Lepisosteus oculatus: one gene and its partners. The protein of the gene in region 3 interacts with the protein of the main gene of each other region in a pairwise test. Links are inferred from orthologs where the notes say so. Each region holds a gene or a part of one and is shown on either strand. Other genes may lie near its edges. The genes, in order: znf366, atp5po, cep70 and lamtor5.

Region 1 (6,828 bases), on a different chromosome or scaffold from region 3:
AGGAACACAAAGGCTGGATACACCCTGGACCGGACACCAGCCTATGGCAGGACAGACAAACAGAAACAGACAGACATGCACACATTCACACCGGGGCAAATTTGGCAGAACTGTAGGAGAAAACCAGAGCACCTGGAGTAAAACCACACAAACATGGGGAGAACGTACAAAGTCCATGCAGGTGGTGCTCCATGTCCGGAGTTGAACCAGGGGCCCCAGCGCTATGAGGCAGCAATGCCACAGTGAGCCAGCATGCTGCCCCATAGTAAACAACAGATGCTAATTACAAAACACAATTAGAACAACTTTGAAATCCTTCCCGTTGTTAGAAATCCACTGTGAAACTGTGAAAACTTGTGTTCTTGAATTTCCATCTAACTGGAGGATTAAGGTACTGTACATCAGGAAAAGGATTTTCGGAAATCAAGCTGCACTGTGTCTTACATCCTGGACAGACAAATGTTAGGTCAGCAATATCCAAATTGTATCTTCAACAACTTCCAGACACAGTACACACCGTTAATGCACCAGATGCTTAAACTAACTAAAACAAGGATGTCCCATATGGTTTAGATTGTTGGATTTTCTTAAGTGAACTATCAATTTTTCCTGCAAAAAACCTAATGATACTACAGAATGATTTGCTGTCTTTACATTTTGTATGCATTCTGTAACTTTCTTCCAAAAAAATGGAAGTGACTGCATTAGATGTTTATTCATGCACTGAATTAACTATTCCAGAAAAAGGAATTTCCAGAACACAAAGCTGAATAGGAAATAGATGCTTAATGATGTCAGTTAATGTAACTTGTCATCAATGGACCTCAGAACAATAGGCAACATCCCTTGAACATCATATGGTTAAATAGCGCACAGGGCACTGTAGTAAAACGTGAAAATGACAACATTGGTCAACAGATGAGTTATTATTTAAATATTCTCAATAATAAAAACGTTCTTATTATTAGTATGAACAGTAGTTTTGTCAATGTAGAAAAAAATGTTTGTTTTCATTTTGTCCTTATTGGCCAGGAGTTTTTAGAACTCCTGAACAGACGTTGTAAGGTCAAATCCCAAGAGAAGACACCGATGTTGCATTCTTGAATGAGTTTACTTTACCCAGATTGCTCCTACAACCTCAGCAGTGAAACATGGGACCAAAACATGCATGGAAGAAAATATTAATTATAATCTCTGAAACTGATCTATTTGGTTACAAGCATCAGTCAAGTAAATAAAAAAAACGTAGAAATAGTTCCTCAAAAATCAGCAGTGGAAAAAAAAACTGGCACAACTCTAAGGCTTGTAAATTAATACAGGATGACGCACTGCTTCCATAATTACAGTTTTATGATATAGAGTACTGGTACTTTGATATGTGTGGTCAAAATCATTACATTTCTCTCACTTACATTTAATTTGTACACATTTATACAATACTGTATATGTACAGCACTTGAATTAACTGAGAGCACAGAAACCAGAAGGATTCCAAAAATAGTAATGAAGCTCAGCTTCAAACTTTAGAACATGAAGTCCACAGATAATTTCTTCACATGTGAAGCTGAGGTATGCAACAAACTGCCACATCATATTGTGAGTAGTGAGCTATTGAGGGAAAGACTAATCTTAGTGATGCTGATGTTGACAATTATATATGGTCTTCCCTGACTTCTACCCTTTCTTAGATTTTACAGTGTGGCTAAGAAGTTATACCAGAAGACTAACAGCAGTAAGTAATTACACCCTACTGCAGTTGCTCAGGTAGATAAATAGTAATTACATGTAACTGGTATTAAGAATACTAAATGAAAGGGTGCTTTTTCAGTGGTGAGTGCAAAAATGGACTATTACTAACAATTTCTCCAAAACTATTTAAAGCAGTTAGGAGAAAAGTTACGCTGCAAAATTACATTTTAGCACCTTTTAATGCGTGTGACTATTTGTGCAAAAGTGATTCTGCTGAGAAACTTAGAATTCTTGTATAGTACTTAGGATCTAGGCCTATTTTTTTAAAAGCAACCAGTATCATATCTAATTGTAAAATTAGATTTACAGTTGTTGCACTTTTGGCACAATTTGCATTTCCATCATTCAAGATCAAACATCACATAGCTAACTCATTTTGAAACAGGCCAGATCAACATTTGTATGTTTTCTCATTAATCAATGTTTTTGCTTGTTATAGCTGAAAATATAAAAGATTAAAAGCTTTTGTAAAAGATTTACAAAAATAAAATAAGACTGACAGTGTTCTTTATACAAAATTAAGTTACCAATGATTTCTGAAACACAGACAGTGCATACGCAAAGAAACTGTGCAATACTTTTTCTTGGCTTTATATTTAAGAGCACAAAGAAGCTTTTCTACCACAGCACTAGGAGTGAGGATGCTGGGACGTCAGAAAACCATGCACAAACCAGGTATCATAAACTTTGTTAACTGTAAATAATTTGGTGCAGGGGAAGCTACATGCCATTTAAGCAAAAAGTAACTAGATTTTACATTTGCATAGGCATGTCATTTTACATCATCCCATTTTTATGCAATCACTTTCTCCCAAATATTTTGTTTGCTCCAGGTCCTCTCTTCATCTTCCCCAATATACTTCTTGCACAGACACATCCTTCAGCAAACACAATTGGGCCCTATTGATATGATCATGTTTCAAACCGCTGCAGACGTAGTAAGAGCACGTTGAACAATGTCCCTCATCATTTACACATATTCACCGACAGAGAACCATGCAAAAAAGAAAGCTTATTGTGCATTCACATGCAAGAATATATTACATTTACAATGTTATTAAATGGAATTGATATATTTAAGATTCACCCAGCATTTCTTTATCTAAAAGCAGAAGCACATTGAACAGTGATCCAGATCCACATGACTCACCAGGGCTTGCGGCTGAGTGACTGACTGTTGCTCTCCTCTCCACTGTATACCTGCTATTTGTGGGGCTCTCTACACTGAAAAGGCAGAAGTAGTGACAGTGTTTGAAGTGCCTTAAGAAAGAGAACAGGAACAATCACTTTGTTCTCATTTTTCAGATGAGTACCTTCGGAAAGAAGGAAGGAAGGGAGGGGAGAGGAAGTCAACAAGCCTTTGCCTTCCTGAGAAAAAATAAGGAAACTCCAGATAGCCATCTCCATTTCTCTTAGAAATACAGATTTATCTGACTTCAGGAAAAAGAAATGGGGTATGCATTGTTGCCTCCAGTTTATACACTCTTATTAAGCAAGTTTTGACCACTAATGATTATGATAATCAAGAAAAAAATCATTGTTTCATATACCCATCTACTGCACATTCCTAAATAAAGAGGAACTAATATACTGCATGAACAAAGATCATTTAAACCTTTAAACATTTAAAGGTCTTTCAGTCTTTTCTGAACTCAATTTATTTCATATGCAACACCTTATTATGTGGTGTATTAAATGAGGCAGTTTATTACCATATTGCCAGTACCCAGGTATTTACAGTAGCTGCAGTGAGATGTTAACGATCTCTGGTCTTGTTCAGGTTTTGTTTTGCTTTAGTTCTGCACCAAAACACTAAGAAAGCCAGAGGGTGATGTTCTTTAGATATTGTTCAGTATGCTGCATTGTAACATATCTCATGATTATAAACCATTGTGAAAAAAGAGTTTCAAAGATTTTGCCAATCAGACATTGAAGCTGGACATGACTAATGCAGAGTGCAGGCATAAGGATCATGACCTGCCTGTGCTCTTAATATCTCTTAATGAGTCCATGCAGTTTGCTGAAGCCTGAAAGGTGCTCTGTCTCTAGTTGTCTCCAATGAGATGATACAACACTGTCTGTCCGGTTTGCTGTGTCGGCCATCACATTTGCAGTTTTCTGTGCATCAGTGTCATTTGTTGCATTAAGTGGGAGACATCATATGCTTTGTTCAGCTTGGTTAAATGATCTTCTGTCTGCATTTCTGGGTCATAGAGCACAAATCTGATGGACTGTCACTGGTGACTTACAGCAAAGCCCTGGTCCTGGGAACTACTGTATACACCTGCTGGTTCCAGCTGAGCTCTCTACTTAATGAAACTCTTAAATGAATTTTTTCTACTCGAAAGTTGGAGATGTTAAGGTAGTTTGAAACGCAACACTGAAAAGGCAACATCCAGCATGCCTAAGACATTGATGATGATTGTTGAGTTAAAATTATTTTTTTGAATGTAACTTAAGTGTTGTCATGTAACTGAACACTAATCTGGACTACAAATCAATGGGACCAGAACTGTGAACCCATGCCTTAGAGGACATGTTATCTCTTATCTCCCAGGCTGCTGTACAGTAAATTAATTCATTTTTCCTATATTTTAAAGTGATTTTTTTATTTAAAAAACAGAAAAACATAAAATGAAATTATTACACCTGACAATACAAATATATTACAGTTAAAAATGTTTTGTTTAAAAACTAGTAAAAATTAAAATAAAGACATTCTGCAACAATATTAACTATTTTGTATATTTCCTTAGATAATGCAAGCCCTTTCATAAAGACATCACACAAGCATGTTCTTTTACACAGTAAAATGTAAGTAAATGCACCTGCTTGTGCAAAGGAACAGGCACAGCCTTAATGCATGCATTATATGTTGAAGTAAGCAAAAGCTTTTTCTAGAATGTAATTTTAATTTAACACCTAGCACCTTTTCCCCCAGAAGTCACAAATAACAATACTGCTTTGAACTGCTTTGGAAATGTAATATTAAGATTTGATTTGAAATGCCTTGGAATGTTTTGCAATTATTTATTATTAAAGGGGAGTGAACTCCTTTTCAGCTGCTTTAAAAGTGTCGCCATCAGTGGCAGTAACTTCTGTGTTAAAAAGACAATACAGCTACGAGGTGTGGAGCTCCAGGGAAATCCTGGAAGCCAGGTCAGAGTTCAAAGAAGTATTTGTCTTCTTCCACTCAAAACTATAAAAGTAACAAACGTGTGCACTTCCTTAGACTGGTGTTGAACTTTTTGATCAAATAGCTGGTTTACGTAAGGATGACATTTTAAATTCCTTTTGTATTATAACTCATTGCTTTTCAAATTAAATATGAATATAATATTTTTATTTATTTGCATTTGAGTGTGAGAAAAGGCTATGCAATATTCTAGACTAGCTTTTAAACAATCATTTAATTCACTAGATAGATATAAAATGTAGATATAAAATTGAACATGTCCCTCTTTGGTGTCCCAAAAGACTGGAAACACTGTGTCTGCAGTTTTTGTTAATCATTTCTTTCTTTCACCCTGTTTCATTTTTTGTTTCCTCTCCCACTCTGTGTCATCTTAGTAAAATATCTTACTGTTATGTTTCACCAGAATTTCAAGCCAAAACCCTCTTAGACTAAAGCAAGTGAATGGGGTAAGCAAGAGTAAGAAAGATACACAGGTCTCTTTCCAGTAAACACAATTTGCATCAGGTGTCCTGATTATCATGATTGTGCTCATGAATTAAACAATGACTTGAGTTGCATTTGAGAAGGAAGAAATTTAACAGCAGAAAAATTCAAATGGCACAAATACTGTACTACTTGAAGGTGCTGTCAAACTGTAATCAACTGTTTCAGCTGCTGAAGACAGACAGGAAAGGCAAAGTTCACTTTTAAACATTGTTTTCTCCAGTGCCAGACAACTCAGGGAAGGACAGAAGAATCATATTTCCATAGAAGGCAGATCCATTCTAATTTTAAAAAGCTGTAAGGATGCAAGCTGTAACATCCTTTCATCCTTAGGTGCACTTTTATTCCAAATGAGGTAAAAGGAAAATATGAGGCACCTTATGAGGCTGCTACTGTATGCAAGACCTGACACTCACAAAACTATAGTTTTAAATAGTTCAAATTGGTTTGCCACATGACTCATATTCAAATTAGTCTTCCGATGACTCTTGGGTCCACAGTGTTTCATTATGTGAAGCATTTCAAACACATCTACTGTAGGATAAATTACATGTACCACAGCAACATCCCAATGGACACCAATGATGTACAATTGACCACTAATCCAAACTTATGACACCATTTTGATTTATTATTGAATTTGAAAGCAATATCAGATAGATTATAGTTCTGCCTTATCACTTTTTCTATCAGCTGTACTGTCTCATCTGCGAACAATCATTAGGTTGTTTTGGAAACTGCCTCTAGCTTACATGTGTTCAAAGCCCAAGTGACAGAACATTTGGGAAATTAGAGTCCCTGTTTGTAATATGCCTCAAAGAACAAGATTCATAATTGAGTTCAAGGAGAATACAAATTCAAGAAAATGCCTGATGTTTGTTGCATACTACTTACCTTTAAAGAACGTTGCTTGTTTGTGTACCTAACTAATACATTTGAGTAGGGAGCTGCCAATGACACCATGACAATGGTGTCATTGTGCAAAATGCAAGGAATACCCAGAGGTTAATTTGACACATGAATATAGAAAGACCTATATTACTAATGACTTTGCTTCGTATTCCTGATCCCTCTCTTTGTTTTTTTTCTCATTTAAAGATATAGTACTTCTTCAGGTGAAACAATTTCTTCTTTCTACTTTTCAGCAAGGAATTAAGCTTTACTTGTATCTTTGCAGCTCATAGGCTAACACAGTTCCCTACTCAGCCTCTTCAGTTGCTGCTATCTAATGTGCTTCTACAGTACGCTTCAGCACAGAATTAACCTCTACTAGACCCTAACTAATACATTAGTTAAATGAAAAATTCAGTAGGTATCAAGGGACCTCTTTGTACAAAAACACAAAGATTATTTTTAAAGATTAAAAGTTGTTTCAACAATTTATTACACATTACAAAAAT
Region 2 (7,769 bases), on a different chromosome or scaffold from region 3:
AAAGTTACTCATGAGACCTCACAATTTTTCAATTTACTTAATTACAATCTTCAGGAGGAACGTGGATATTGCCGTGAACCATGATTGACCACAGACACTAAAAATTAGTTATCATATTGCACTATAGCAATACCTACACTTGACTATAGTATGCCATGATGCAGTCCCACAGGATATGCAGTAAGATAGCTCTGTGGTAATGGAATCATGTTATATCTCTGTTGTACAGTAAATTATGTTTAAAAATGTAAATCTATACAGTAATGAATTTGAATTGCCTGATATTCCCAGTTTGCACAGTTAACATAGCATTTAATAGCAGCACAGCTGACACAAACGCTTTCATTCAGTGGCAGGAAATGTGGTTAAATGCGAAACAGGATTAAAGACAGCTTGGATCGTTTGACCCCCCTGTGGTGTCATTAAAATATTTTCCATACAGTGGTTGAACCATTCGTTACAGTGTGATTTATTTTTTTTCCAGTGGAAATGTCTTGCACTTGCACACAGCATTTTTGTTTGCCTTTGAAAGACTGTTGTTAATGGCTGGTGAATAATATGTCTCATTTGTCTTTGTTGAATTGAATAAATACTATCAGGCCTCAGGAATTTATTAATTCTTTAGGGTTCAGATCAAGACCAAGGTTGATCAAGACCAAGTTGGGGAAAGGGGGATTCCATAACCTGAGATTCCTTCTTTGAGTATATTTGCACAGTGTTTTATGCATATATAATTTTTAGGAATTCATATTCTAATAAATCTAATTGATTAATTATACATGTAAAATATTTGTATGTGTTATTTTCCTAAGATGATTCATAATTCATTTTTAATCAATAAATGAGTTGTTTACAATCGTATACTTTTCCAGAGGGAAGATGACTCACTGTACTTTACTCTGAATTCATATCAGTCTGCTGAAAAAGGAATTAGGTGTCCTCTTACACCCAGAAAGGCCAATGTGTTACTTACTAATCTAGCATCTGTACAATCAGATCAGGAATCACAGAGGAGATCTACTATCACTCAGTGGAAAAACGGAAAAGAGGTTTTTAAACGGGAAAATCTCTAATAGAGACTTTTAGCATTCCTTTCAAATTAAATATTTTTACAAGATTAAAAAGAGTAAAAAATAGTTTGAAATGTCCAAAACCTGCATGTCCACTCTGTGTCACTGGTAGCCTGTGCAGTTTTCAGAGGATGGGACTTATAGTTTGATGCAGAGTGTTTTCATTTAGCACATGAGCTTCAGCATTCTGGACATGCTAAAGCCTATTTAGCACCGTAGGAGATATCCTAGGAAGTTAATAATCTATAGAATCTACAGTGGTCTAATCCTGATGAGAAAAAGGCATACTATTACCAACGTTTCAGCATCAGAGAGCAAGGGCTATGCTGTGCAAGTAGGTAGAAGGTACCCACTTGGGTCCTACTGATACGTCTCCCTACTGTTTCTGAAAAGTCCAGCTCTTTTAAAGAATGAGCCTGACAACAGTTCTAATACATCAGGATATCACCCCTCACACAGGCCTGTGAAGGGCGTTAAAGGTTGTCACATTTGTCTTGTTGGCAAACCTTCTGAGACACACACTGAGGGCCCGGTCACACCCGCCCCTGCCATTCCCAAGGACGGTAGTGTCTTCCTGACAGGTAGGCCGAATTCCTTGTCCGTAGGTGTCGGAATATCATTGCCAGAAGGTTTTCTAATTAATGGATGTTTGTTGCAGTTTCATAAAGATTCAGTCTTTCTTCGGGATAGGAGAAAGGTATGCAGACCTTTTCACTGGGCCTTTGTTGACTCAACTCAAAGAGATGGATTCTTAAAAAAAAAAAGGTTCGAATATGATTGTGGACAAAAAAAACCTACAGTACTGCCCACAGTAGATCCAGCCAGTGGGAACTTTGATGTTCTTGGGTGCAGAGGCTCGCCATAATGGGGGTAGGTGAATCTGTACCTGTTTTATGGTTAATTTAAAATACAGTAAATAATAAAAGGTGAATCTTTCCCCAGTATGCTGTGCCAGCACTGGGGACCAGAAATTGTACCAACTTTCACATCTTTCCTTGGGAAACATGCTTTAAAAGCCAAATGTTTAGAAATTGAAACCCAGCAGACTTCATTATCATTAATGATAGATTCATCGCTGCCCACAATCTTTTCCACATTACTAGTGAGGGACGGATCAAAAACATCTGTTTGAGTTCACACAGCACCGTCTTTTACTTTCTTTCTTTTAACCAGATAATTCAGTTGATCATTTCTCATTTTCAATGAAGTCCCAGAGAGGCATTCAGGCAGCAAGACATTGATGATAACGGGGGTTTCCTTGTTCAAGGGTACAACTGCAGCTCTCCACCCCAGACACCAAAGAATTTTTTAACTCCATGGGTGGTGTTTACAGCTTCATTAATCCCTCTAGATACTGACAATAAACTCATGACTTCATTACAAAGTACCGGCCCAGTGACTGCTGCATAGGTCACAGAGTGAAAACATTTCTGTGGGACAACAGGTATCAGGAACCATGTTAACCTGAAATTTGCGCTGAATGGCCAGTGTCTCCCTTGTCCTTTTGGGCTTCCTCCTGTTGATCAAAGGTCCTTGTGTAGGCACTCGTTAATTCCCACACAGTTCAGACGTGACATGGAGGAAGTTGAGACAGGTCTAACTGGGCCTCAGGCTGAGAGGGGAGCTCTAGAACACATACACAATGCATCTTTACAGCTGTCTTTCTGCACACAGTCAGTTGGTGAATGAGTCCCAGGCAATTAGCTCTGCCCACACCCAAGACATTGCATGAACCTGTACACCCCTCCCCATCAATAATGAGTCCTGAGCTCTGAATCGATAAGGGCTTCATAGCCTTCACAGCCCCAGTAAGGGGTCACACAGAAGCCACAGCGACAGCAGAAAATGGAGGAGCAGTTAGCTCCATAGCACCCGGGAGGGGACTCAGACACCAGGGGCTCTACAGAGAGCAGCGAAGAAAAGCCCGAGCATTATCTTCCCTACCCCCATAACCGAAGTTCGCGTCCACCGGGACTGGAGAGGATGCCTAACATGGCAACCGAGTTTTTTTTCTTCATTTCTGCTCCCCTGGACACTGGGTTTTTGGTAACTAGGGTCCATGCGGTTCTGGTGCTGGCCTGGCATGTGTGTCCCCTGGAGACACCTTTTGTGAGTTATGTTCTGTTGGGTAGGCCTTGATACAATTTCCCTAATTTCTGGGTAATAAAAAGGGAAATTATGTAGAATGACTGTCTTGTCTTTTCTGAGGGGGGCGCCAGTGGTTCTGGGTGATAAAAAGAACCTGCTGCAGGGAAAAAAAAGGGCCTGGCATCCTTTGAAATAGCTAAATTGATAGAATTGGCATAGTCGGCTTCAAAAGCAGATATTTTTCCTGCATTTAGGGGTCACCCATCTGTGACACATGCAGTACTGTAAATTACAGCTGCGCACGATTAAATTAAAAATCCACTTACCTGACTGCACATAAACTTACTGTAGTACCGCCGGCACTTTTTTTTAACACACTGCGTCTGTGAAATGCTCGGAATCTAATGAAATTTAGATTCTTAGTACAAATAAAACATTTTCAGAAGATGACAAAGGAAGGTGGGGGGGATAATGATTCATCAAACCTGCACACAAACGTATAAAATGAAATAGTATCCCAAGTGCGTTCAGAGCCAAGGAGAATGTAGTATTTTTTCAAAGTAACAGGATACACGGTGGTACACGGGGGGGCTCAGTTTTAACAATGCGCTGTGAATGTAAACAGGACTGTATCACATGCGCTATATAACACAGCGTGGAAAATTCCACAAGGCGAGCCGCCTCGCTACTTGACAGCGTTCAACGCGACACCTGGAGGCGCTCCGAGCGACTGCTTTGCATCTCAGTGAAATTAACCGCGACGTGACAGTTTTAATGGGGCCGAGGTTGTTGGGTTTTTTTAGTGACGGGGTAAATGTCGCTTGGTGAAAACCTGTAGCGTGCTAGGAATCCGTGTATTACACACGCACTGACAAATCCTGCGAGACTCAGGCGGAATGGCTTTGACCCAGCAGCAAATTTACCTTCTGAAGAAGCCAGTCATGTTACGATGTCAGCAGGAACAGGTTAAGACTTCAGTCCCAAAATTCTGCAGTATTTTTTTTCCAGTCTAATTCTTTATAATTAAGACAAATAACATCTTTGGGCACATGAACTCAATATTTCCATGAGAGTGAGTTTCAAAACACATAAATATGCTTGTAGGTATAATGATAATCGAGTTGATTTGTTTTACATAACATAAAGCTATAGCAAAACACGTGTAAATCACACGTGAATAGTTTTAGAATAAAAAAGCTTTTGACTCGTTGGTGATTATATTTGATTTATCTTGTCACATGGGCTGTAAACCGGTTAGTGTGTCTGCTTACTTCAATCTACAGCACACAGTTGCGTTTCCTGTGAAACAGAAACTTGACCAAATACTAATACACACTAGCCCAATACCCAATCATGTACCAGTATTTTTGTTATGCGAGCATGTAATTTTCCATCGAGCATCGCACTCCGTTGCAAGCATACTGTTCGACCTGCGATGCAGAAAGTAATTTTCCACTGTACAGTCTGAGGCGGCGCTTGACTCAGTTTTAAGGAGGTAGTAATTTTCCACTGAACTGGAAAGCCTTAACTGCCCACTACATTTACCAGAAAGCTCTTCGATCACAGCACGATTGCGTTATAAACTACAGTAACCACAATTCCCTGTGTTTCCCAGCCACCCTACTTCCGTTCATGCGCTCTTGGTTTGACCTACACAGTAACAGGAGAAAATGGCAGCGGCAGGACTGGGGCAGCAGGTAGGACATTGAGAAATGTGGATTAACAGGACAGATAAATTCCTTAGGGACTGCGTTGAGTCCGTTTTCTGTAATCTATGGTGATGATAAATGCATATGGAGAGTGAAAGCAGTGCGGTTATTATTGCATGTGTTCAGATTATATTATAGTGAGACTACCACTATTTTTTATTCAGGCCTTGTGCATATGACAACCCGTGTTTTTACGTGTTAATTTGAGTGTACGGTTTTGTCTCCAGATGGATATACTGCTCCATCTAAAGATCAAACGCATATCACGTTTTGGAATAAACTGCCGAGGGTGTCGGCCTTCTCTGCAGTGCCCTTGTCGAAGAGTAAAGACACCCCCCCCCCTAAACCTAGACTAGAGGAACCCCCCTTTCTTACAGCAGTGGTTTCCTGAAATCCTAAGAATTAGATCTCCAAGTTAACGAGTTGTTGTAATTTTTCTTCTTTGCTTTTAATTATAAACGCAAGACCTTGAAAGATTTGATTCTTTGACTGCAGAAGTGGGACAGAAGCCATTTATGTAGGTTTTGTTTTTTCCAGGAAAATGTTTTTTGGCCTTGTGGACATCGCAGGGTTTATTTTATTTTTTTAAATGATGCAGGTAGTTCTTAATTTTAAGATCAGACCAGAGGATGATGAATAATTTAATAGGTGCTCTAATAGCTCTGTTTCATTCCTGCAGGTGCGCCTCTTCAGCACCACTGTAGTTAAGCCTGTTGCGAAGCTGGTTAAGGTAAGACTAGAGGCACAGTGATCTTAAGGAACATCTTGACAGACTCCCTTGACTGTTGAGTATCTGTGTTGTCTGATAGGACAGAAACACTACTTACTTACCTGACAGAGAGAGTTGGCCTAGACCTCTGTTAGTCACTTTGCCCAAAGCCACTTCTCACATCATGGAAGTGGATGGAAACTGAATAGAATTCAGAAAATGTTTTCAGTTTTTTTTTATTATTTATCCCGTGCTTCCACAAGCTGATTAAAGAGCGAGAATGCTGTCTCTGCTGAAAACTAACATTTTCATTGTTTTGGTTTTCACGTTTTAAAAAGTCAACATTTTCACCTGTCAGTTTAAGTAGTCACATGTGGTGTTGTGAGCATTGGATACAATGCTCGACAAATCACTTTCCCTGAGTCTGACTTCTAAAAGTAATATCACTTTTAATATCTTAAAAGTAAGTTTAAGAGAAACCTCTGAAAATTATGGGCTGCAAAGAGGTCTTCTACGTTTGGTTCTGTAGGGGTGCAGGGACTCTTATGATTTCTTGGCAACCCAGTCAACTGTTTGTCTCCCTTCTGTTCTCTCTGTCATGTACTCCCTCTTTGTAAATTTCCCAGACATTGTTAGTTACGGGCGGAGCGGTGGCTCTGTGGCTAAGGATCTGCGTCTGTGACTGGAAGGTTGCCGGTTCAAATCCGGCAGAGGAATCCTACTCAGTTGGGCCCCTGAGCAAGGCCCTTAACCCCAACTGCTCCAGGGGCGCCGTACAATGGCATACCCTGCGCTCTGACCCCAAGCTTCTCTCCCTGTCTGTGTCTCCTTGGAGAAAAGCTGGGGTATGCGAAAAGATGAATTCCTAATGCAAGAAATTGTATAGGGCTAATAAAGAAACATTATAAACATTACATTATTATAACATTATAGTGCGCTAAGCCTCTGTGAATTCAGGGTTAATGGCCTGGTCTGCACAGCCCGATCCTTTCAAACCGAAAGCCACCTAAGACACAAACTGAGCATCCCAGATTCAAAGTTCCTGTACTTGTGGAGTGTTCCTTTCTGAGGGCAGCTTGAGCAGTCCGTTTCAAAGGAGGAGGAATAGGGAGTATCCAGACAGCAGCTGACCCGTGTTCCCGTACTGGCGATGCTCTATTGTTTGAACGCCTTCTAGAAAGCCCCCACTGGGCAACACGCAGCTAACGCGGCCTCTTCCTCCAGCCGCCCATCCAAGTGTATGGTGTGGAGGGCCGCTACGCCACTGCCCTGTTCTCTGCCGCCTCCAAGCAGAAGAAGCTGGACCAAGTGGAGAGGGAGCTGGGTCGCGTCGCTGTAAGTCTCCTCTTCTCTTGCGCGCACGAGCAGACAGGACATGTGTGACACAGACACCAGCAAAGCAGCATTGTATGGTCTGACCTTGTGTGCTGCGCAGGGCCTGATGCAGATGCTCATGTAGCACCCTATTGGCTACGCCAAAGGATATGGAAGGCACTTGGGTACATTTGAAATGATATTATGTTGAGAAGTGCCCTTTTTACAATCATGGGTCATGAAGAGTCCATCAGGCGATCCACAGCGCATGCAGCTGGAGTGTGTGGGAAGCTGCATGAGATGATGGTTTGCTGTAGACTTTGGCTAATGGAAGGAATATATAAAGGAATATTAAAGGATGTGTTATGGATTGTTGGAAGACATGAGTGGAAGGCATTTGATCTAGTATCTAAACATGTCTTGGGGAAGATGGAAAGACTTAAATCAGTACAGACAGCAGGCTTCAGGAAGGTCAAGGCTGATAAAGTTGGCGGCACACTCCAGAAACAACTGCCTGCCTATGTTTTAATTTGGTTTTCAGTGTGGGGATTTAAATAATTAGGGGAGATGATTCTGGGGGCTCTGTACTCCTGACATTTCTTGCTGGTTTCTTTGAGCTGGGCAACAGATGTTTTTAATTGTAGTGCCTGTGGAGGTGTAAAGCTTATAACAGACACTTGGTTTATCCCACTTTTGTTTTAAATAATCTGTGATGTAAATAGGATACTGAGGAGATGTGAGTCTGATCTGTTTTTATAGATTGCGAGAACTTTAGATAATGCCTTTGTCACTTTCAGACAGCGTTAACCTACCCATGAAAGCTGCTGGTGACCTATAGTGTTAAAATATTTTAACAGCCCTATTTGTAATACTGTTTTT
Region 3 (7,319 bases):
GCCGGCCAGTTCTGTGCTCACTCGGCTCCCGGCCCCAGTGCTCGCTGGGATTCCAACAAGTACCCTCTCACCTCCGTGCCCGAAGGCCGAGCGGCTCAGGGACCGGACTTGACATCCAGTGGGATTTTCCCCACACAGCTAAAATACAATCGCCATTCCCGTCCTGCATTCAAAGCACAGGCCTTTAAAAGGCAAGACTCCCAGAAGCCTCCAGTCACCTTCCTTTATACAGACCAGAGTCTTTGCTGGGAGTTCTGTGTCTGCTTTCAGAGTAACGTTTGAAACTGTGGTCCTACTTCATGGGCTTCCTTCTTCCCCAGTGCAAAGAGATTTCATTTATTCATGGTGTTGGCAATATGTTGGTTTTCAAAAACTAACTTTTCAGAATGTCTGGCACCTCCAGACCCACGTATGTCGTTTCTATAGTGTGGTGTTGAGGACAAATGGACACAGATTTAAAAATAGGTCTGCGCTGGGTCATGATATAGTTTAACCCCTGGAATCCCTTGATTTGAATCCAATTCAGATACTCAAATACAGGTTTTGTCCTCCTTTACTAAACCCCAAGTGTTTGGGGGTGAGGGCGCTGATGTCTCATTATAAACACTCTCAGCCAATGTGGGTACAGAACGGAAACCTGCGCTGAAGTCAAAGAGAAATGAGAATGGGAATTACTTCAGCTGATTGTTAGTCTGAATCAGCTCCTGGATCAAGGCCTGTCTCCTCTCGGTGTCCTTTAACAGTGTCTTCAGAGCCAGCCTCACTTCGGAAGCAGACCTTTTCTCCAACAGAACCAGATCTGAAAGAGAAGAAATGTCAAATTAAACATGAGAATAGCTTCTTCATGCAACACGCAATTGACAGAGATGGAGATGAAGGATTCTTGGAACACAAGAGGTGGGGTTTGACAGTAAACCCCTGCAAAGGCCAGGTGACTCCGAAGCCACAGGGGGTTTAGGATGTCTAGATGGAGCAGGGAGGTTGTTAATTCAAGCTCCAGGTGCAGAAAACAATGCAAAACCTTAGAAACACGGAGCTCCTTGAGGTACCATAGTAACAGTGGAATAATAACAGAAGCAAACAATAGCGGTCATGTTTGTATCGCAGCTGAGCAGCACAGCTGAGCCACGTGAGACAATGAATGAGCTTAATGATACCAAAAAATAAAAAATACACTGATCTTTGTGATTACAAAACTGAGCTGCATTACTAAGCTACAGAAGTAATTGTATTACATATTATCATTTTTAACTCTGCCTCGATACTATTGCATTTCAGCCAGGCACTGTGTAAGCACTACGCACATGCCAGACAAAATTACAACACAGCCTCTTTCTGAAGCTTCACACTTCTCGCTTCTTTAGTGTATAGGCTCCGTGACCTCAAATCTGAAATCAATTTATAAAGCAATCTGGGTTCACATATCTGAACATGAGCATCAAACAACAAAAGCATACTTAAAACCTTGTGTCAGTCCAGAAATGTATAAACGAAAGACACAAATGAGCACGGAACCATTCGATATTTTATGCCAAACAGTCATGCACCTGCTAAAACAGTTCCCATTCCCATATGACGAGAGGCTCCGTTAACGATTTTGCAGGATGATGCAGACATTGCATCGACCCGCACGACTGTGCCGCACCTGATAGGTTCTTGTTTTCCATGGGGTCTGCGAAGTGAATGGGCTTGAACCCGTGGTGCTGGAGTATCCGGTTCACTGCCTCCCATTCCAGCTGCTCCTGCTGCACAGTGCGGAGAAAACAGCCGCTCAGGAAATCAATCAGAACGGGGAGCCGCGCAGCTGTGGGCACGCCAACATCGACACCTCTTACCACACGCACACACAGGAAATCCGAAATCGGGTCAGACCGAGCGCAGGTCTAAATGACGAGGGTCCATGAAGAAAGCAGGACGGCTCTCCCACACACAGTGAAAACGTTCCCGGAGCAAGGCTCGGTAACAACAAAATAAACCGGTTTCCCTTCAGTTCATCATTGTAAGGGAACAGGATCCGCTTACACCCTGAAAGGCATGACCTTTCGATCCACAGAAAAGGGAGAAACTGCTTCCCAGTGCTCAATCCCAGGGGAACGTTAAGGAAATCCCTGGAGCTGTGCTTGGGGCGCGTCCTGTACCTGAAACTGGCTGCAGGTCCACACATAAACATAGGTCCTGTCCTTCTGCTGTAACGCGCTCATCCTCCGACCCGCCGCGCCTCACAGGACCAGCCCTGTGAAGCCCCTGCCCAGCTCTTTTCTCTCCAGGACTCCCCGGCCGCTGCCCTGTCTCCTGAAGCCGCGGCGGGGTGCTCTGTCTGCGTCTGCAGCGGCCGCCCCCCTCCCCTCCTTCCTACTGCAGCCTCACCCGGCCGGGCCGGGCGTCAGGTTACAGGTGACTGCCCCCCGGCAGGAGCTCTGAATGGGAGCAGAGAGCAAGCACTGTCAGCTCAGGAGCAGCCTCACCGTCCAGCTGCTGCCTTCCCTCATTTTATTCACGGGATAAACCAATATCTGACCTGCTCATTGTCCACTTCTTGACCTGTAAGAAAAAGAAAGGATTCTTAAACTTAACAACTTTCTCCGCATGCTGTGGTATCCTTCCTCCTTCCAAAGGCAGGCAGGATGGGCTAACGTGTGTCTGTGTGTATCACGTACGCATCTGTGTGTGGATCGTATGTGTCTGCATGAACAACACGCGTGTCTACGTTGTAACGTCTGTGTCTGCAAGTGTAACGTGTGGCATTCGCAGCACGGAACAGAATCAGCAGCTTTCTAATGATGGAGAGAAGTCCCCTCAGGTAAACAATAGTATTGAGTGCTGCATTTTGTACTGCAGTCCACTATTTTACATGCCCTTATAGTGTAGTTGTTTTGCTACAACATTTTGGTTTTCAGATACGTGTATGGAAGAGAAAAATGTTCTCAAGGTGACACAGTCCTTTTTATTAACTTACCCGAGCTCTGATGAGCCATGCCTGTGGGATACGGAGTCTAGTCTTCTTCACAAGGTACTACAAATACAAACAAAGCATGAAAAACGACCTATTTTCACTGAGCCCACACAGCCCAAAGCTGGTCCTGCAGTTTCAGGTTCCTGCAGGTTTGAAAGTAATCTTTCACTTAACACCTGGAAAATACAGCTGACTGGGCTTCTTATACACTTAAGGAAGTCATTAAGGCCTTAATGACTTTGAAATGGAACCCAGTCAGACTCATGGCACACTGGGACCTGGGTTGTCAACCCCTACTGTGAAGTTAAGGCTGATAAAGAGCATGTCCCTTCTTTCAGACGTCTGCCACAATGGGTGATGTAAGCCAACAAGAACAGATACAGGTCATGATCTTTCAAATTCAACTGAAAATGTCAATCCACTCCACTGCAGTCCTTCAGACTAACCAGCACCTCAGCTGTTTTACTGATGATTGTCAATCACATCCTTAAACAGCTGGCTGGAGAGAAACCTGACATGGAGTGCAGTATACTGGACTGGACTGGACTGGACTGGACTGAGCCTCATGCTGAACTGCCCTGCTTTCTAGGCCACTGGTTTGCAGCCCCGGTCCTGGAGCATCAGTCTTCTTGGGTTTTGCTTCACTCTACAGGCTAGTTGATTTCACTTTTTGGTTTGTGGCATGTTTGTAAATTTACTTTCAAATCAGAAAAGGTCAAATGTAACCAGTGCCTGTTTCTGAATTTTAGAACAGCCATCATTCAGGTGTGCTGCCTGAACTGTTATGAACTGCAGAGGGAAAAAACTGGTGTTGTGGGGGTGTCTGATACAGTGACCACGCCCATTGGGGGGATGTTCAATAAAGAGGCAATCCAACAATGGATATATCTGATGCAATGTCATGCCCAGTATATGTCTGATAGTGTCCTTCTCACCTGTGGGCGAGTCTGATAGTGTAATTCCCACCTGTGTCTGTTGATCATCAGGTGATCGATAAATTAGAGCTGTTTAGTCAGAAATAAGAAGAGGCAGCATAAAGTTCTGTGTGTTGAAGTATTGGAAACAGAGTACATAGGGTGTAACTAACATGCAAAACCAACCTATGAAACAAGATACAAGTCTAAACAAGAAAGCAGATCAACTAATTCATCGGCTGTTGAGCTCATCTGGAAAGAAAACCAGGATGGCTGGGAACCAAACATACATAAAGCTTGCACCTGGCTTTAATGCAGTGCACATGAAGAACAGCATGTGAATAAAATTCAAACATGAATCTTCTATTACATTATGGTATAATCTTAGCATATTTCCCTTACTTCAGCTGTTACTTTAATTCTTTCTTTTTTTATTTTGTTCTACTCTAAGATCAATATAATTATATATTGCATTCATAAAACCGTATTTAGAATATTATATATAGTTTTGGTAACGGTATTACAAACCCTCTTATAAATACTGCCTCTCCGAAATGGGTTGAGAAAGACAGCTGGGTCAAGGCTGTCCAATACTGCTCTTATGGTGGCCGACGTTTCTACAGATCCTTGTTCCAACTCCACTCTTGATGACCTAACCGTCTGCTAGCTAACGACTTAATTGCACCAATTTAATAATTCATCTCGCGCCACGGGTGCATCTGCTTTAAAAACAGGCAGGGAAGGCCGCCCTAGAAGAGATGAGCATGAAGGTACGAGTGGGAACGGAGAGAAAGTGCACTTCTTCACAGGAGAGGACTGTCTGGGAGTCTGGAGCAAGATGCACACCCCTGTAATTGCAGCCGGTACCCTGGTTTCTGCCAGAACCGCCTGAACGAGACCCCTCACACCGCTGGTTTCGGCAGCCGGGCAAGAACGGCAGGCTGAACAGCCACTCGTTGATATTGACGAGCATTACTCGGTGAATCGCTTGGTTATTTGGGATGGATTTCAATTTATGGCTTGAGATACGGAGGGTTGTGCAGCCTCCATTATTACTGAACAACCTCTAGTCGCAGAAACAGACTCGCTACATAAGACGCTTTCTCAGCCGAGGTTTGTGGGGAAACTGCTAAACAAGACGCTGCGGAAGTAGGCGCCAGAGGGACAGCCTCAGCACCCCGTACTCGCACGGCCAAGCGGCGTCTTGTGCGTTGTCATTTTAAAACTAGCTGTCGCGCACACTTGTTTTAAAAACGTGGATAAATGAAATACAAAAGCGGTCAGAAGCCGTTAAAAGCAGGGTAGCTGAAAGGCTCGTAACCTTACCTGTATGTTGGGCAGCAATCTTGTTTTCATAAATATCCTATTATTATGATGGAACAGTGTTTTGATACCCCCCTTTAATCTTAAGAAATATTTGTATTGCGTTCCTGCAACCCTCTGGGTGCAATCTTACTTTTACATGCGGGCTCGAGACGGTTTGAAATACACAGCGGCGGCTAAGTAAAGCGAAACTTCCCTGGAATTCAACCAATAGGAGAGTACGGAATGGCGATGGCCCGCCCCATCCCTCCACCCCGAGAGGTAATTGGCTAGAGGAATGTGATTGACGGACTACAGCGGCCTATCAAAGGAGGGAACTCAAACACGTGTGCAAACCGCAGCCCCCGCGCGCTCTGTGCGGGACAGTTATTTGTCAATCTGCTGAGACTGTTGTTTGCTCCTCTTGCGTGTCAACGGTGCACAACAATGTTAAATGTAGTCATTTTTTCTATTTCTTAATAAATCCGCTTTTATTCGATGGGGGAGTTATGCTGTATATTTGGAAACTAACTTTCTGCAGGTCCACTGGTGACACAAACAGTACTTTTCCAGCACTGAGGCAGGCAGGGCTTGGGGAATAATTAAATACCAAAATGTTGGGAGAAAATTGCTTCCCAATTCCAGAAGCAACTAGAACAAAATATAATTGATACGTACTGGGGAAAAAAATTTCCACATGCATGCATAGAAAAATTGATAAGTGCCTTTTCACAACACTAACTAATCTCGACATGCAGTCGTGCGTGACTGTATGGCATTGGTACTGAACTTTGTGAAATTGTTTCTGTTTCCTAATAAATGGTGAAATCGGAAACATTGGTGAAACCGATACTCATATAGTTCATAATATGTTAATACTTTCAAGAAAATCTCGGGCCACGGAATATCATTTATTCCCACCCGAATCCGTTTATTGACACGCCCCTTTTGGGCGGGGGCAGAAGGTGTGGTTTCAGAGGAGGGACGTCTGCGATTGGCTACATCCTGAGGGACTGCGAGTTTTCCGGGACGTCTGGACAATCGCGTGTCGCTACCATAGATATGTGAAATAACTCTCAGGAATTCGGGTAGGAAGAAAGGCAGGTTTGTTAACGTAATATCGCGAGGAACGCAGAGATCTTACAAGCCTTGCAGTGACGTCACTGCGAGGTTTGCGTTGTTTTGTGCCTTCTTGGTGTGTGTGAAGAGTGAATAGAACATTTTAAACCGAATTCACATACATATTTAGACACAAAAGGTAACAGAAATAATGCGTAATCGTATTATTCATGTTAGATTACCGACACGATTTTGACACGCTAATGTGTAAATTGCACAGTTAACTGTACACTAGGTTGCATTGCGTTTCCATAGTGACGGTATTCTCGTCTGTTGCAAGAATCAGTTTAATACCTGCGTTAAGCAGCAGGTAAGGTGCAATAAACTATTTCATCGTGATTTTGAGACTTGTAAATGCAATTTATTCTTTGTAGAAACTAGTAGTAGAAATTGCAAACGTGGAGAACCACGTCAAGTTGTTAGTAGGATTCATTTCTTAAATCTGGCAATTTGTTCAGATCTGTGTCCTTTTATCGGTATTTTGCGTAACAACACAAAACAGAAATCAGACAGACGGGAGTAAATGATACAAAAAAACTTTAAAAATATTACCAAATAGAAGATCACGTCCTTCGGCACTAGCAGCCCCATATAAACCTCCGTGTATGTACAGCAGGCAGATGACGTGACTCGGCAGTGTTTTGCGGTGTAGATTAACAATTTCTGAATTCAAACCGCGGATTGTAATTAAATGCATTTTCTTTAAAAATATAACCATCTGAAACCAGTTGATTGTGCCACTAAACTAACGAACAGAAACGTCATTTATGTAAAAAAAGGATTATAATTTGCCCTGGAAGAATGCAGCAGTAGAGTTTTAAACTTTTTAGGATTAAAAACTAAAATTGACGATTGTGTTTAAATTTGATCACGCAGATCTTCTTTTCGTGTTAAAAAGGTGTTATACAGTATTTTACACGTGTCTACTGGGCATTTGGTCGCCGTGCGTCTATTTGTAGCTCGTTGATAAGTCTTGATCATCTTAAGATCCCGCACTCACTGCTCCTAATTAAAGAGCGTTGTTTTAAGGA
Region 4 (8,022 bases), on a different chromosome or scaffold from region 3:
ACAGAACTCGCAGATAGCAAAGCACAGCAGAAAACATGCTTAATGACAAAAAGAGTTCAAATCCTCTGCTAAGTGCCCAGTGTTTCTTTCATAAAAGTCATGATTCAAACCAACAAATCATAAAAATATGCCCTTCATTTCTATGATGTATGAGATTTTGCTACCTGTCCATTTGAAAGTTCCATTTTCTGCCACTGAATCTCCACCAATGGTGTGGTGGACAAAAACACATTTAAGGGTAACCTAGAACTTGTTTATTAAGACTGAAACTAGCAAATTGTTTTCCCAGCCCAGTGCTGGCCAGACTATGACATAGCTGTCATTTGCTTCAGTTTTCAGTAGCATGACCTCATGCTATGCACCTTTTGGCGACCTTGGGCAAAGTTCAGATCAGTTGAACTTATGAAACATTGTACTGTACCTATCAGGGAGGCAGCCAGCAGACATTCACCTTGAAAAGCTCGTGTACATACACAAGCATTCCAACAATCCCCAAACTATTTGTAACTAGTTGCTCATTAAAATGGAGGAGCTGAGCACAAATGACTGAGAAATGCAATGTCTAACTTTGTGTCTGAATGACTGACGCCATCCTTCTATGAAAACAAAGCAATATGTTACTAAACTGTTAACACAAGAAATTGTATTCCAATGGTCTCAACATTCAAATGCTTATTCAGTTGTTTTTTATCTTTATTGGAAGATGACCATTTGGAGTTTGTTATGCGCTTCATAAAAAAACAAAGAAAAGGGGGTGGGGAAACAAGTAAAGTGTTTTCTTGTTGCTTGAAAAATCAGGATGCCATCTTGTGCACAGCTACTGTAATGGTGCCATGTGTCCTTATTAAGATGTTCCTACAGAGAGAAGAGAAAGTGTCTTTCATAATTCAAGAATAAATAAACAAGGACTTTAGTTCCAGGAATAAATGACCCCAAGCATGAGATGAGAGAGGTTTAAACATCCTCTTTTACAACTAGTGCCATGGTGTCATAAGACCTGTTTAATGCCCAGTTCCTCAGAGCTTTGGAAAAAGAAAAACTTTGTAGATCTGAGACAGGCAGCTCCTGCAGTTTTCATTCGCCTCTGACATTTATTCATTTAAACAAATGAAATATTTTAGCCAAAAAAAAAATCCTATTGTTTTGGTCTTCCGTTGTTGAACGGTATAGCCCTTAAGGAGTGAAGTTCTCATCCCCACTGCAGAGTTTTCAGGGCGCTTTGTAAAACTCAGAGACAACTAACACCCCAGTTTCTTAGTTCAAATCCACAGGGTGGCAGTATAAGCAAAGAAGCAAATACAGAAAAAATCCCTTCTAACAGACACTGAACACAAGCATTTTGTACCTACAGTAGCATGCCTAGAGAGAAATGGAAAGAAAATGTGACAACATGTAGAAAGGTATAAGAAACGTTTTGCAATCATATAGAACATTAAGTAAGACGACTCTGCATAAATTAGGCAATGTAGTTGAACCGCACCAATGAGAAACGAGGCGTTTTTAAAGAACTGGGTGTAACTTAATGAAATAGTAAAAGCCGTGCACTTAACAAGCCCAATTGTTCAGCGAGGCAGAGTCAGAGCCTCCTGCCCCCTCTTACCCAGCATCCGACTCCAGGCACACCGTGGGGCAGTCAGTGTGGTCCGCTGTCAGCTGGGCCGCCTGCTTGGCCAGCACTGACACCACTCCGCCGTGCTCATCAGACAGCGTGCCGCGGCCTAATGGCAAGACAGGAGCAGCAGGAGAGGGCAGGTCAGAGCCGGCACACAGATACCTGAACCCTGTGTATTGAAACGACTGCGCCCCCCTTTTCGCCAACACTCAAAGTCACAGTTGTGAAGGCACTGCCGTGCTTGTGGAAGCTCCATTCGTGCGTGAACAGCAGCAAGGCCATCTGATCTCCGTGCTGAAGCTTCCCATTGGACTAATGTACCGTTCTGAAATTCAGGACTGCCCGTAGCTGCGACCCTCTCTCCTGGTCCTAGAGAGCTCCCTTTTTAAAGGGAACCCAATCCATACTCCTTCACTCTTCAATAAATGATTGATTTAATTTCGCAAGTAACAGCTCAAATGGAATGAAAACCAGAATCACAGGAAGCCTTCCAGAACACGAAGGAAGGACCACTTCTCTTTACTATATTTTTCATTCTGCAGGCATTACAGAAAACTCTATGCAACTGAACTCTTGAAAAAGGTGGTAAACTGTAAACAGATTAAGTAAATTAAGAAGCACTGCGGCTCTCCAGGACTCTGAAACAACAGGTAGTGGCAAAGCGATGTTTTCAACAAAGCAGCACAGCCCGTGGGACAGGTGTGTGTACTCACAGCCCAGGTTGTGGCCCTGCTGGTCAGTGCAGAGGATCCCCACGATGGCAGGGTTCTTCATTCTGACAGGCAGAAGACAGATTTGTTTCATTTAAAGAGCGCGTATGTACCCTGATATCGCTCAGAAAGTAAAACGTTTGAAGTCTTTCTCTGGCGACATTAGTGGTAAAGGCAGGCGATCAACTTTTGGGTCAACGAAAAATAGAAATACTATAAAAACAAATATTTAAATAAAGCCATATTGAAAGTAAACAAATACATTATTTTAACTCAGATAACTTGTTAGTGAATCCGTGGGTATCTATTTTTTTTCTTTCAATACTAGGGTATGAAAATGTAAAAAGGAACTACTTTAGTACCGTTTTTGGAATTAGCCAATTATGTTTAGAACGATTATATATTAAAATCGCTGTCTATGTATAATTTATATTTAAAAAGGTCAAATATTTTAGATAATTAATTATTCCAGATCGCGTTTGTTTTTTCCCCAAAGTAAAACACTTAAAAAGCGGATTATATTAAAAAAAAAACTCACGTATCATCTAGATGCTGTTCTAGTGTTGACTCCATTCTTTAAAGGCTCACAGTAACATAAATTACAAAAATAAAACAATGTAAATTGTGGAAAATACAGCACAGAGACGTTTTCCTCACTATGGGCAGCAGTCAGCTGACAGTTACACACGTGACTAATACCTTATACGGAAGCCCACAAGAGTCAAACCAGCGTAGCGATATATACGATTTAGACAAAAGTATTGAGTCAACCTCAGTGACCACGTAAGATGTAGTTTTTCATGTATTAAACATTAGAGACACTATTAAACATTAATCAGCTTTTTTCCTGCCATCCCATGGAGTGAAAAGTGAAAAAGTGTTATTATTATTTATAATTAATAATTAATTAATAATAATAATAATTGCTAGAATTGTTTAGAAAATCAGAAGGCGGCACTCTGCGCCACAAAGAATGACTCACTGAGGACTGTTGGCAGGGTATTTGGATGTGAACTCAAACTATGAACCTAGATGTTCCTAAACATGGCCATCTTCATTCATCAAGTTTGAAAGGGTGTTTAATAAATTCTGAGCTTTGGGAACAAACATTATAAAAATACAGTGGATGCACTAGAATACAAATGGTCTTGATTTGTTTTTTTTATTAAAATAATGAATTGAAGTGATTAAATTTAGAACAGTTCATCCCTATACTCTTAGAAATGATGACTGACACAGTAATGATGTTCCTCCATTATAACTTATGGTCTGATGAGGATGGTATATCTCACACTGCTATTAAATTAAACAAACCTATGAAGAGAAAAGGCATTACTTTCTTGTAAACATTTGGATGTTGGCATTAAGATTCATAAGATTCTTAAATTGCTTTCCATAGTACTTTCAGGTCTGCCACCCAAAATGTCCTACAAAATCAATTTCAAAGGTAACAGCAAGGTGACAATAACACTGTTCATCGCAGTTTATCAAGAGCTGACGTGAGTCTCAGATTAAGCTCTTACATTGTTTTATATTACATTCTCGGTATGAGTGTGGCTGTGCCAGTCGCCCAGGTTTTAGAGAGAACATCATTTGTGCCTACAACTCTGTGTGAGTAGTGCAGTGTCCTGGCCCACAGAGCGCTGATAAATAACCCTGAATTAGTCATGGAGGAGTGATTCAGACCTAATCAGCCCTTGGCTTCATTAATTTCCCTGCGAGGAAGAATTATGGATTGAAATTGGAATCAGGCCAGCTGTCAAAGTCATTGATCAGGGAGCACAGAGATCTCTATTCTTGTATTCAGCTCCCACTCTCCTCACATGCCCAGCTGTGGATTGAGCAATGCAAACTGGTCACTGTACACAGGGGAGCTTCAGCCGTATGACCATCGTACTGGTCGCTGTAGTTACAAACACAAAACAAATCATGATAATAGTAATAAAAAAGTTTTATTTTCCTCAGAAAATACCATTTTAGTTATTTTCCCCATTTTATATTGGAATAAAACAATTCAGGTTTGATTTCCTTAAGCATTACTACTATACATTTTAATGTTTTTCCTATGCCTGTTTTTTTAATACATATCATGAAGGCAATGTCACAGTATCTTTATTAGTGTAAAGTACAAATGAATGAATGTACCATGTATAAAGTATATCATTTAACCTACAGGATATTGTAAACATATTAATATGGTAATCATCTTCCTGTGTTTCAAATATGCACAGTACATGTGTAATAGCGTTTCACTTGTGTGTTGTTAAATCAATTTTTCACTCATTATAGACTATTTTTCTCAGCTTCATAACATGCCTGATCATGGACTAATGCACCATACAGAGCCTTTCTCAGATGAGCTTTTTGACATTAACAGTCTTTAACATTAAATACTGGATGGACCCATAATGGAAAGGTGAAGAAGTGATGCAAACTGGATGAACTCACCAGCCCTCTCTTCTGCGGTATCATGGGGATTCCTTTCTAATTTGCAGTAATGATACCATATCTCGTTATAGTAAGGTCAGCCACAACTAGAATTAATTATTTTCCACGCATCTACCCTTAAATGGGAATGCAATACAGCATACAGCATCTATCTCAAGTCTGGCTATTTTTAGTCACACTGAAAGTGCATTGTATTTCATCTAATAAAAAGGATTACAAAAGTCCTCATCAGGGCATTTTACCGAAAATACCATCCAAGCTTCTGCACTTTTAGATATAACCTTGTTACAAAAAGGCAAGCATACATAATAAAGATGTTATCTACTGGGATTCATTATACTCAGCTTCTTTCCTAGAAAAGCAAAGGAGTTGTTATGTACAGGGATTTTATCAGAGCTAACCCATCCATCCCTACATGATTAAGATTCAGGACTACTAGAACTGTCCGCCCTTGGAGACAGTCAGTCTATTCCTGACTACACATTTTGAGAGGGAGATTCTTGCCTGAACTACATTCCCCAGAAGGCAGTAGGGGTAACTTGCCATCCTCAGTCAGCTGACTATTTGAAGGATGACAATTGGTCAGGTTCTGTTTAAAAACACAGAAGAGGAGTGGCATCCAATGACCATTGACCTCTACCAGCTCGAGATTTAGCAGAGCTTGAGCCAGGGAAAGAATAGAGCCTGGAAGGAAGTGAGACTGTTATTTGAAAACCACCTGAGAATTAGGTTTGGCATATGAAGGTGATGAAAGGGGAAGGTGATCTGCCCTTGATCAACTGTAGCAATTCAGGGTGTTTTGGAGGGATGGGAGGTTGTGCAATATTTAATAATGGAATTTGCCTTTCAAAGATCTTACATGGCAGTGCTTGGAAACACCAGGAGCTGTCAACAATTGACTTTCTCCAGGACAAATTTCTCAAGCCAGTCTACAGGCCCTTACTGATTTCGCAAAAAGCTGTCTTTGTTGTGATTTTCGTCTTTAGAGTCCCTTGTTAATCTGTGGGTTCAGGCAATAACATGGACTTTTTGAAACAACAGATGTGTAGAAAATGAAAGATCTCCATCCTGTTCGATTTGTAAATGTAATTAAAACAGTAGTATTTAGCATTTCTGCTATGGAGTTGAAGCAGACTTTTTTTCCAAACGACAAAGAAAAATGAGTTGATCACAAAGATGTCTCAGTGATTATTTCAAATTTCTTCTAAATTCTTGTTTCTCTCTCCAGTTTTCTTTTTAACACAAACTTTTTTGCACTTTGTTGAACTCTTTCTGAATGTGTCCTAAGCCAATTAAAGATGCAGTATAAAGGATGTTATGGGGGGGAGGAACAGTTAACTTCTGATTTTATTTTTAAGCTAGGAACAGAGATTTAAAAACCTGAATTCATCCTGTACCAACCACACTTGTGCACGTAATAGTTGAGGAGTTTTACTAAGCTCTGCTTTCTGATTTTCATAAATATGGATTTCTTCAGTGCTGTACCAGGATTCCCCTGTTATAACTAATGCAGACCCACTTTATTCAGACGTACCACCATCTGCTTGGCCCTTCCTCAGGTCAGCAGTTCACTGCAAGACCACCGATAACAGCATTGCCACGCGATCTTCTTTACAGATTCTCATCTCTTGTGAGTTCAGTCTTTTGAAAAGAGCAGCTCTATTTTAAGCATTGGTGGGAGTGCTGTCTGAAACTGCCTTGTGTCATGGTTTCAAATGGATGAAACTCCTTATCGCGAATCTATGCTGTACAATAGGTCACCAACAGATGCACCATATATCCAGAGATGGTGACTCGGGTTCTTTTGTGTTGATACTGGAAAGTCTTTTTATTGCAGTCCGACAGGTTTAGCTGGGCTGTTTCAGCTTCACACAGCTCTTGGTGGCAGGATGGTTTGTTTTACCTTATCTACCCATAACGTTTCTTGTCTATGCCATGTTGGAAGAAATAATGCAAATTATTTTCATTCAAGAATTTATGACAAGTGTTTAGAGTTTAATGTTTGTATCCATGTCTGTTTTCTGAATCTTGTGTCAAATGTTTAAAGATTGCAAACATTTTCTTACAAATGACTTCCTCACATCCACAGGGTGCTCTGGTTTCCTCTCACATTTCAAAGGCCTACTAGTGGGTTAACTGGCTTGTGGGTAAGCTGGCCGTGGTGTGAGTGTGTGCATGTCTGTGTCTGTCTGTGTCTGTCTGTGCCCTGCGATGGACTGGTGTTCCGTCCAGGGTGTGCCCTTGTTTGTGCCCATTGCTTGCCAGGATAGCCTCTGGCTCCTCCACAAAACCAAATTGCATTAAGCACTTCTTTTTAAAAAGATGAGTATTGAGGTTAGTCAAGTACTGTAGAAAAACCCAAAACCCAAAACTAGTGAGGCTAACTACCATATCATTCTAATGCAGCTCAAACTGACACCAAGTATTCTTTGCAGCATGAGGTGATCAGAAAAACAGATACATTATGGCATTCAAACCACAGGTTTTCCATCCAGGATCATAGCTGAGGTGAGTGAAGGTTCCTAGTTACAAATCCAGGGGGTAAGATCTTAATTTTCATTGTTGTCTCTCTACCAACCAGTGACCTTTCTTTAAGACATTGTTATTAATTAACTAATGGAACATCTGCTCATTCTACTTAGTCTGCAATTAGTTGAGAGACAGGACTGAGCCATCTATCATCAGAGGCTCCAGAATTTTCTCCTGGTTCATAGTGTTAAGCAGGTTGTTACGGCTATTTACGATGCATCTTCTGAATCTCTGAAGGGAGAGATTAGTGCTGTTTCATGTAAAGAATAAAGCAGTCTTCATGTCATAACACTTACAAATACAGTCAGATTAAAACTAGAGTAGTTCAAAATATCCTCTTTTTTGTTGAAAATACTGAGGACAGGTTTTCATTATTTGAGTTATGAATAGTGTATGAATTATTAATTTATTCCTAAAACCACTAATGGAGGTAAATTCATTTACTCTTCTTCTTATTATAAAACTTTGAGATAATAATAATTGCATTTGTATAGAGTTTCTTCTACCCTAAAGGACTTCATAAACAGTACATGTGAGGGGACCCACTTCATCCACTTCTGAAGTACAGCCCCCACCAGGGTGACGCAGAGCAGCCATTCTGCCCCAGCTGCCCCCCTTCACTGATTGAAATAAGGGGAACTTTAGGGAGACCAGATCAGGCCCATAGTAACTCCGGAGTTAAAAAGACAAACATTGCCACGTGTTTTTTAATGTTCTTTAATG

Evidence for each region.
Region 1: the proteins of cep70 (region 3) and znf366 interact in binary tests that used the Homo sapiens proteins (3 or more experiments, as listed by UniProt). The link is inferred for Lepisosteus oculatus from reciprocal best matches to the Homo sapiens genes CEP70 and ZNF366.
Region 2: the proteins of cep70 (region 3) and atp5po interact in binary tests that used the Homo sapiens proteins (3 or more experiments, as listed by UniProt). The two-hybrid records come from large-scale screens. The link is inferred for Lepisosteus oculatus from reciprocal best matches to the Homo sapiens genes CEP70 and ATP5PO.
Region 4: the proteins of cep70 (region 3) and lamtor5 interact in binary tests that used the Homo sapiens proteins (3 or more experiments, as listed by UniProt). The two-hybrid records come from large-scale screens. The link is inferred for Lepisosteus oculatus from reciprocal best matches to the Homo sapiens genes CEP70 and LAMTOR5.

The regions. Positions count from the first base shown.
Region 1 is NC_090698.1:24,357,536-24,364,363, forward strand, and holds the start of znf366 (zinc finger protein 366), read right to left. Parts: upstream 3,019-6,828; 5' UTR 2,900-3,018; intron 1-2,899. UniProt on the Homo sapiens protein: Has transcriptional repression activity. Acts as a corepressor of ESR1; the function seems to involve CTBP1 and histone deacetylases.
Region 2 is NC_090710.1:18,233,974-18,241,742, forward strand, and holds the start of atp5po (ATP synthase subunit O, mitochondrial), read left to right. Parts: upstream 1-4,759; 5' UTR 4,760-4,828; coding exon 4,829-4,855; intron 4,856-5,546; coding exon 5,547-5,597; intron 5,598-6,800; coding exon 6,801-6,911; intron 6,912-7,769. UniProt on the Homo sapiens protein: Subunit OSCP, of the mitochondrial membrane ATP synthase complex (F(1)F(0) ATP synthase or Complex V) that produces ATP from ADP in the presence of a proton gradient across the membrane which is generated by electron transport complexes of the respiratory chain.
Region 3 is NC_090707.1:6,583,086-6,590,404, forward strand, and holds the start of cep70 (centrosomal protein of 70 kDa), read right to left. Parts: upstream 3,016-7,319; 5' UTR 2,976-3,015; coding exon of another isoform or gene 2,957-2,975; intron 2,542-2,956; coding exon of another isoform or gene 2,519-2,541; exon of another isoform or gene 2,490-2,518; coding exon of another isoform or gene 2,466-2,489; intron 2,418-2,465; 5' UTR 2,202-2,417; coding exon 2,139-2,201; intron 1,746-2,138; coding exon 1,646-1,745; intron 800-1,645; coding exon 676-799; intron 1-675.
Region 4 is NC_090700.1:37,465,807-37,473,828, forward strand, and holds the start of lamtor5 (ragulator complex protein LAMTOR5), read right to left. Parts: upstream 3,017-8,022; 5' UTR 2,896-3,016; coding exon 2,861-2,895; intron 2,388-2,860; coding exon 2,326-2,387; intron 1,719-2,325; coding exon 1,601-1,718; intron 856-1,600; coding exon 795-855; 3' UTR 1-794. UniProt on the Homo sapiens protein: As part of the Ragulator complex it is involved in amino acid sensing and activation of mTORC1, a signaling complex promoting cell growth in response to growth factors, energy levels, and amino acids.